Oryzias latipes: one gene and its partner. The protein of the gene in region 1 binds, or shares a complex with, the protein of each later gene. Links are inferred from orthologs where the notes say so. Each region holds a gene or a part of one and is shown on either strand. Other genes may lie near its edges. The genes, in order: fnip1 and lamtor2.

The links.
Region 2: fnip1 (region 1) and lamtor2 share a complex: the UniProt entries of both Homo sapiens proteins name them as parts of the lysosomal folliculin complex. The link is inferred for Oryzias latipes from reciprocal best matches to the Homo sapiens genes FNIP1 and LAMTOR2.

The regions. Positions count from the first base shown.
Region 1 is NC_019872.2:4,900,519-4,904,340, forward strand, and holds part of fnip1 (folliculin-interacting protein 1), read right to left. Parts: intron 3,740-3,822; coding exon 3,665-3,739; intron 3,571-3,664; coding exon 3,479-3,570; intron 2,769-3,478; coding exon 2,685-2,768; intron 674-2,684; coding exon 602-673; intron 1-601. UniProt on the Homo sapiens protein: Binding partner of the GTPase-activating protein FLCN: involved in the cellular response to amino acid availability by regulating the non-canonical mTORC1 signaling cascade controlling the MiT/TFE factors TFEB and TFE3.
Region 2 is NC_019874.2:28,620,312-28,624,653, reverse strand, and holds the start of lamtor2 (ragulator complex protein LAMTOR2), read left to right. Parts: upstream 1-1,535; 5' UTR 1,536-1,681; coding exon 1,682-1,749; intron 1,750-2,365; coding exon 2,366-2,528; intron 2,529-3,478; coding exon 3,479-3,568; intron 3,569-4,342. UniProt on the Homo sapiens protein: As part of the Ragulator complex it is involved in amino acid sensing and activation of mTORC1, a signaling complex promoting cell growth in response to growth factors, energy levels, and amino acids.

The DNA of each region.
Region 1 (3,822 bases):
TCCGCATGTGACCTGTGTTCAAACAGAAAGCACAATGCCAGTCGTGCCAATGACACATGGTGACGTTTGGGGAGGGGGAGCAGAGCTGGGGGCATAAAGGTCAGTTTCCATGGGACAAAGTTTCCAAGTTCATTGAGGTTTATACAAGCACCCTCTCTTCTCCTTCAAGTTTATCTCTGCCTTTTGTGGGGGAAGATCCTTTAAACTTTTCATGGCTCCATGTCTCTAAACAGTTTCACACTCCTACACCCATCAACATGGAGAGGAAATCCCTGAGTCACTTTCATTCCCCGCTTTAAGACTGCAGCTTGTGCACTTCTGATTCAATTACTAGTGATTTTGTAACCGTTTAGGGCTTGCCCCTGATGAGTAGGCTGATGAGGTCAGACACATTAACACGAGAAGTAGCTGGTAATCAAGAACTATCTGAATATGTCCTTCTGTTGACATCTCAAGGTTGTAAATATTTTCAGGAACCCACCAAGTTTGAGATGTTTCTGCGTGTCAAGATTGAGTTCTTCCATAGAGTTCAGTGTAAAACTGGGATGTAGAACAGAGTGTAGGTCAATCCAGGCTTGGGCTGTTAGCCGCATTAACGTACCTGACCTGGCGATGCCACTGTCCCTCTCATCGTGGGGGCCTCGACCTGGCATGTCCATGGGGTGACTGTGGCCTGTTATGAACAAATGTGAGAAAAATGGAAGAGACAAAGATATGATTTGGGTCAGGCGGTGAGGAAAATACAGAAAGGGCAACTAACTTGTACAAAGTTTAATGTTAAAACATGCGGAGAGGCACTCTTATCTAAGAAAGTTAGAGAACTGCAAAGCTCCGTTAAAGATCCATAACATCCCTTATCCAAGCTACAGCAATTCTACTGATCAGTGGTATGAAGCGGAGCACCTTTTGTTTTTGTAACTCCAACAAGAGGAAGCTGAAGTCAAAAAGCACTGCAGCTGTGACAGCGTGTTACTTTACAACTCGATAAAGACGGTGGCTTTTGCTTCGACAAATCTCTCAACAGAGCGCTTTACGTTAAGATCAAAACAAAGTTCATACTCACAGCAAACATAAAAATAACTAACACACATGCATCATATCAAAAGGGCCACTTGTGTGCCATAAACCTTTCGGTCTCATACGACGCAAGTATAATATTCAAATGTTGCAAACTTGACCAACAGTTCCATTGCATTTTGAAGTACCATTACAAAAGGTGTCAAAAAGCCAAGAGCATAAATAAGAGCCTAAACAAACCATAATAAGCCAGAATGACTGGGTCAATTCTACAGTCCAGCAACAAGGCTCCTATGAGTGAGCTTTACTTTTAAACTCTACAATTTTGACAAATGTTCAGTATAAGTAGTGTGTGTGTGTGTGTGTGTGTGTGTGGGGGGGGGGGGGGGGGCTTAAACTTAAAAATTAAAATCAATGAATAAATTGATGCTTGTTTGAATTAGTTTAGGAAGTAGATGCTACCTAGCACCAGAAAAGGGAAAGAAAAGATATGGCATTGATAAATTATGGATATCAAGGTAACATTTATGAACATCCAGCACTTGCATAGGAAGAAACAGTCTAATGTTTAGTTGGATTCAAAATGGTAGGAAGTGTTTGATGTAGTGGTCTGAGTGGTTATTTCCTCCTTCTTGAACACATGATGTTCTGGTAGAAGTTTGGTTGTGATGCTACGTTCATACACGCGTTCCAGTGACCACTGAATGAAAGTTTCAGGTTTCCGTGATCAAAACTCTCACGTTCACACGTCGGTACGCAGATCTTTAAGTGCGTTTTTTGCCTATAGACAAAATGCGCAACCACTGACGTGGCATTGAAAGTTAACCAGCTGAACTTTGACCAATCAGAGACATGTGGGTAGCGTCCTTTTTACTTCAGGGGAAGTGCCAACCCGTAGGAAAATTGCTCATGAAGGAAAAGTTAATAACTGTGGTTTGTGCTCAGAATAGAGCTGTGAAACCAAAAGCCTGGAGCCTCTTCCAACTTCAAGTACATGCTTTAGTATCGGGTAGTGTCAGTGCAGTGTGAACACCATAATTTACTAGCCCGGCGTGTACGTAGCTTGACAGTAAATATCAACGAGTGTGTGTTTTCTGGTCACATGCGCCATCCCTTAAAGGTTTACAGAGAAAAAGAAAAAAAGACAAAATGCCTCCAAACACCACTTTCAAATCTATTAAACAGAAGAAAAAAGAATTGGACGTGCTGATCAGGGAATAACTCAAGAAGAAAATGCAAAACATTGACCAAAATATGACTACAGTAACCAACACCAGTGAAAAAACATGCTCTTTGTGGGTGTGCAGTCATACACCTTGGTCAGATAAACCGATGTATTTAAAAATTGACAGACAGCTTTTTTATTGTTGCCGTCATTCTGAGTTTTCACAAAGGAAAGTTAAATGTTTCCCTTCAACCTCTTCAATGCCAAACATGAAGCTGTCCAGATAAACTTTTGGCGGACCAAAGCGGTGGACTTATCACCCAGGGTATTCACATACACACCCATCTACTTCATGCCAGTACTACTAGTTCTAAAGGCGAGATTAAACAAAAGCATGCACCCGATCAAGCCATATCCACAGCAACCACCATTAATCCAGCTATAGCCTCTACAGACACATGCAACTGGCGTACAGCGGTCACAGCCAGTTTGAAGCGCCAACCTGAAAAGAAAGAGGCGCTCTTGATGAGGCGCAGCGGGCCTTGTTCAGAGAAGGCCCTTCGAGGGCTGCAGAGCTGAGAAAATCCTGCGCAACAAAAAAACATGGAAGGGAGAGTACAGAAAGAGGGGGGAACGTGACAAAACCAATGAACAATGATTAGTGAGTCAGTCAGAAAGGAAAAAAAAAGGCTGAAACTTTCTGTTCAACCCTCCTGTTAAAGGCGACTTTTAGTCTGGAAAGAGAGAACATGTATTAAAGTACATGATAAAAAATGTTAGTTTAATGTTTTTCGAATCACCATTTCTTTTTTAAGACAAGCAGGATGGCTACCTGTGTAAACTTGGTAAGCCTACTTTCTTTTTTTTTTTCTTCTTTTTTTTTTTAAAGAGTGTTATCAAATTTAAGGAGGTGGCAAAAACACCACCATTGTTTTTACAGGAGAATATTTATGGTCCTAAAGATCATTAGCCTTTAAGATCTTTTCAAAAAAGTTACTAGTTGGTGGACGTTTAGATGGACAACAAAAAAAGGGAAAACAAGAATGCTAAAAGGTTTGAAGTGAGAAATAACATGGAATACAAAAGACAAGAATAATAAAATAAAGTAAAATGAGAAAAGACAAAAATGCTATTCGCAGCTGGTCTTCAACTACAGCCATCATCGTCATGGTTGAGTATTCCAACTACTCAATAATGGAGGAAAAAAAACACCATTCACCCATCCTTCATACGTTAATTTTTCATGAGGATGAAGGCAGATGTGGTTGTAGTGGTGGTGGGTGTTGCATTGGTTACCCATGGTCCCGAGAAGATTGTTGGGCCCCGTGTTTTGCTCTGGCTTTAGGGTGTTGGTCTCTGGCCCAATGAACTCAAGGCTGTCCTGTAACCTGTTGAGGGATCAGACGGATGGCCTTCAATGAAAATGAGGAGGTTTATGTAGGACTTCTTGCCACGTGTGCGTGTGTTTGAGCACATTCTTACGTGTTTAGGCTGCCGTACACGCTGCTCCCTGTTTTGGCTGTAAAAACCTTGCTCAGCATCAGCTGAGGCGGCGATCTGTCATGAAGATAAGAAAGGGACAAAGATCATCACTATTAAGAGTTTATGCAGCTTGCTTAAGTCTTTGATATTTCAAACCA
Region 2 (4,342 bases), on another chromosome or scaffold:
GTTATCTTAGATGACCCCACCCTTACATTGACGTGTTCTCCCTGCCATGACAAAGGTGGATAAAGGTGGAAAGATTTCATGTAATCCATGGACACCAGTGAAGATCACAAATCATTGAAGAAAAAAGGTTCAGAGCACTTCTAGTGGGTCTACATGACCTAACTCTCTGTGTTAAAGTGCCTATGATAGCACAAGGGTTAATGTTCTGATAATGAAATAAAATGTATTTTCTGCCATTTTATAAAGGTGTATTAGTATTCACTCAAAGTTTTGCAAATTCATACTCTTTTTAAAATTGGTGATATTTAGCCTTTCTTGCAGCCACACTGTACATACTGATTAGATTTTTTTTGTAATTTCTTTTCTCCAAAAGACACTTTTATTCGTCATCATCATTTGTCCTTTCAGTTGCAGAGACTAGAATAGAAAAAACTGATTTTTTGACCTTTCATCTAAACTTCAGAGGTGTCAGAATGACCTCAAAGAGTTTTACTATAAATTTAAAGAGTTAACTTTTTTGTCACATATCTAGAAGGAAATGTGTTTATTTCCTTCTGCCAAAATGAGACTACATCCTCTCTGATTTTACACCACGTCTGTAGCTTTCAATGGTTGACGGTATAAACAAAACTGTAAACGGATGCACTTGTGTGACTATAATTTTACCAAAACACATATCAGAGAATACATATTAACCATGCACTCATGTACCATAGCAGTTACAGCATGGAATCAAATCAACTTTTGTTTATACAAATGATTGGTTTGTGTCTTTTTTATAAGTGTGTCCACTCAAACACAACAGATTTACCTCTTAGAACAAAATCCTCTTCTTACAGACAAAAAAAAAACAATAATATCCTCGGCCCGATCACTTTTTCTGATGTCCAAAGGGCAGGAGGGAAACGATTCTGCCAAACACTTTGCGCAAACATGTCCTCCCACCAGGAAGCCAGCAGACAATAAAAACCTCAAAGCAGACTAACCTTTACTGTAAGGAGGAGTGTCAAAAGATTTAAATAACACTTCTTTGGTTGAAGTAGAATAAAAAGTACACTTCTTTGAAGCATAAAATCTTTGAGATAAAAACTCTAAATATGACAAAGGAGATGAATCAAGGAGGTGAAGTTTTCGTCGTTCACTGAAGCAAACTATATTTCCCATGATACATTTCCAAAGAACTGGTCATATTCTAGCAGCTCTAATAGGTGTGAGTGTGAATGGGAGTGTGATTGTGGCCCTGCGACAGACTGGCAATCTGTCCAGGGTGTCCCCTGCCTTCACCCACAAGTGGCCGGGATAGGCTCCAGCAGCCCCGTGACCCAGAAATGGACAAAACGGAGGAAGATGAATGAATGGCCATATTCCAGTTCTCAAAAATGTTTACAGACTACATGGGAAAGTAATTTAAAACAAAAAGATTTGTGAAAAAATCAGGAATAATTAAAAATTTAAAAATAAAGTTTAAAGAAAAACATAATAAATATAAATAGGAAACATGTATTTGGATATAACTGCAATTCCCATGATGCATCTCTAAATGTACCGGAAAAGGAAACAGAAGAAGAATCGAGTCAGCTGACTTTGCTCTGTTATTGAGCAGTTCTCTCTTCTTTTTTAAGCCCCGTGTTTATTCAGTCAGATCATTTTTCTGGGTTTTTTCTCCTGAGAGAGGTCGGCCATGTTGCGACCCAAAGCGCTGACGCAAGTTCTCAGCCAGGCGAACACGAACGGCGTCCAGAGCACCCTGTGAGTACCGCGAGCTAGCAGGCTAACATCCAGCTAGCTAGCAGCGGTTTGTTTGCGTCTAGCTCCTTAGAACTCTTAAAGCTCCCCTGAAACGACACGTTTATATAATTATTACTTCACCAACTTAATACTACTTTTACATTTTCATTATTTATTGCAATAAATACAAATATATTTTTTCAAGATTTGTTTTCCGCTGTTAAATCAAATACAGTTTTACACGAATTTCAAGCAGTTGAATTTTGATTTCAAAATAAGAGTCTTTTTAAAATATATTTGGTTCGTTTTTATTTTTGCTTAGAAAGTCTGTTCAGGGTACAAAATATCATTATCAGGTAGAAAAAAAGCAAAAAAAATCGATTTACATTTAAAAAGTGGTGTGGGAAAATAAGTAATCTGTAATGTTTGATGTAGATCTGTTTGATATAGATCTGTTCATCGTTTTAGCCATTTTGCATCAATCGATCAATTTCTGTCCTGGAGACCTCCTGACAAAATTACTTGGTTTTCATGGTTTGAAAACGGAATGGCGTTTGTCTTAAAACTTTGTCACTGTAACTTTTCATCATTGTGTTGTTTTTGTGTGTAATGAACAACCGTCTCTCTGTGCGAGCAGCCTACTGAACAACGAAGGCTCCCTCCTGGCGTACTCCGGTTACGGCGACACAGACGCTCGAGTGACCGCTGCCATCGCCAGCAACATCTGGGCCGCCTACGACAAGAACGGCCACCAGGCCTTCAACGAGGACAAACTCAAGTTCATCCTCATGGACTGCATGGTGGGAACTTTCTCCTTGTTTTCCTTCAGCCCTTTTGTTGAAGTTAGATTCTATGAATGCCCCAACATCTCTGAAGGGGTCTGCAATTTGAGGCATCACAGCTGTTTTTTTTCCCCCTCCATTGTGACTTTAAAGAAAAAATGTGTATTATTTAAATAAAATAATGTGTTTGTAGTTTTGCTTTAGCATGCATACATGGTGGCACCTGTTCAGTCTGGTCTGTTTCAAACGGGACCAAATGGCTCTTTTAATGTTGTACAAAATATGAATAATGGGACTTGAGCAAACCTTCAGATATGGAAGGAGCTGGCTCTTGATACCAATAGCACCACAGGAAGACACCAAACACACACTCCTTGTACTCCTTGCCCATTTTTTTTTGCCCCGCTCTACAGTTTTGTAAACATTGCTCAAGTCAAACGTGTCAACGTCCTGCATCATTTTTCTCATGATACATAAATAATCTTCGCTCATGCAAACAACCAGATGATTTTCTTATTTCTAACTTCCAGCTCTGAGGCAAAATGTTTAACTTAATTCCCGAAAATCAGCGAATCCACACAGTAAAACCCCCACTCTGCCTTAGGAGGAGGGGCTTTGTGGAGAGTCTTGCTCTGTAGATGGAGGGGAAACCTGCTGCATTTGGTCGCATAAAAAAAGCTGAGATCCATTCTTTCAAACCTGTGATTCAGTTCGATTTGCGCCTCATCGCCCCTTATTCAGTAATAATTCATGTCTGCACATTAGCTGAGAGCTGCTGAACTGAGTGAAGGTCAGGCTTACATAAATACTGTCGTAAATCTGAGCATCGCAAACTAACAGCAAAGCAGTGTTCTGTGAGAAATCCATCTGACTTAGTGGATTTATGATTGGAAGTTACAACCTGTAAAGAAAAGTGACTTTTAGTCTTTGGACTCGACCAATAAAAAGGCTTTTTTTTTTTTTCTCAGGAAGGGAGAGTGGCCATAACGCATGTGGCTAACCTGCTGCTTTGCATGTACGCCAAAGAGACGGTGGGCTTCGGGATGCTGAAAGCAAAGGTGAGGGCGCTGCTTCCTCACATGGGTCTTCATCAGCTGTGGTTCCTCAACGAGTCCCGATTCCTGACCCCACAAGTTCAGTTCAACCAAGGACATTTATTCACTCGTTTATTCATTCACTCTCCTCTATGTAGTTTAGTGGAAGTGAAGCATATTTCAGATCAAATTCCGATTCCAAGTTATTGGATTTGGAGTTGCTGCCGATACCGAGTTCCGATCTGTTACTGTCGTAGCACATCCAAAAAAAAATGACAAACTTAATAAACAGATCAACATTTTCCAAATTTTTAAAATTTTATTAAGCTTCTTTTAGCATTTTACACGTAAACAGAGCACTTCTGGGAAGTATCTTCAACAATCAAGGAAAAGTAATGCAATTATCAAATAGAAAAAATAGTTAACTATAAACTAGTACAAACTTGTTAATAGTTAACTAGTCAAAATAGGTTAATTAGCCCTATGAGAAAGTTTGGTGACTGTAGCCTTAACATCTTCAGAACTGTTGAACATTTTTGATCAGATGTGATTCATTTCCCTGTTATAATATCAAATAATCAATTTCCAAATTCATCGTTGTAGCATAATTATGATGAGTATTTGTGACTTTCAACAGAACCATTGACTAATCGTTAGTATTTTTATTATTATTATTATTATTATTATTATTATTATGTATTTATTTATCTTGGTCTATTTTTCCCAGAACTTGCACTTTGTAGGCGGTCCCTTATCAGCCCACCATCAGTTTCATTCTCTTGAAAAGAATGAAAAAAA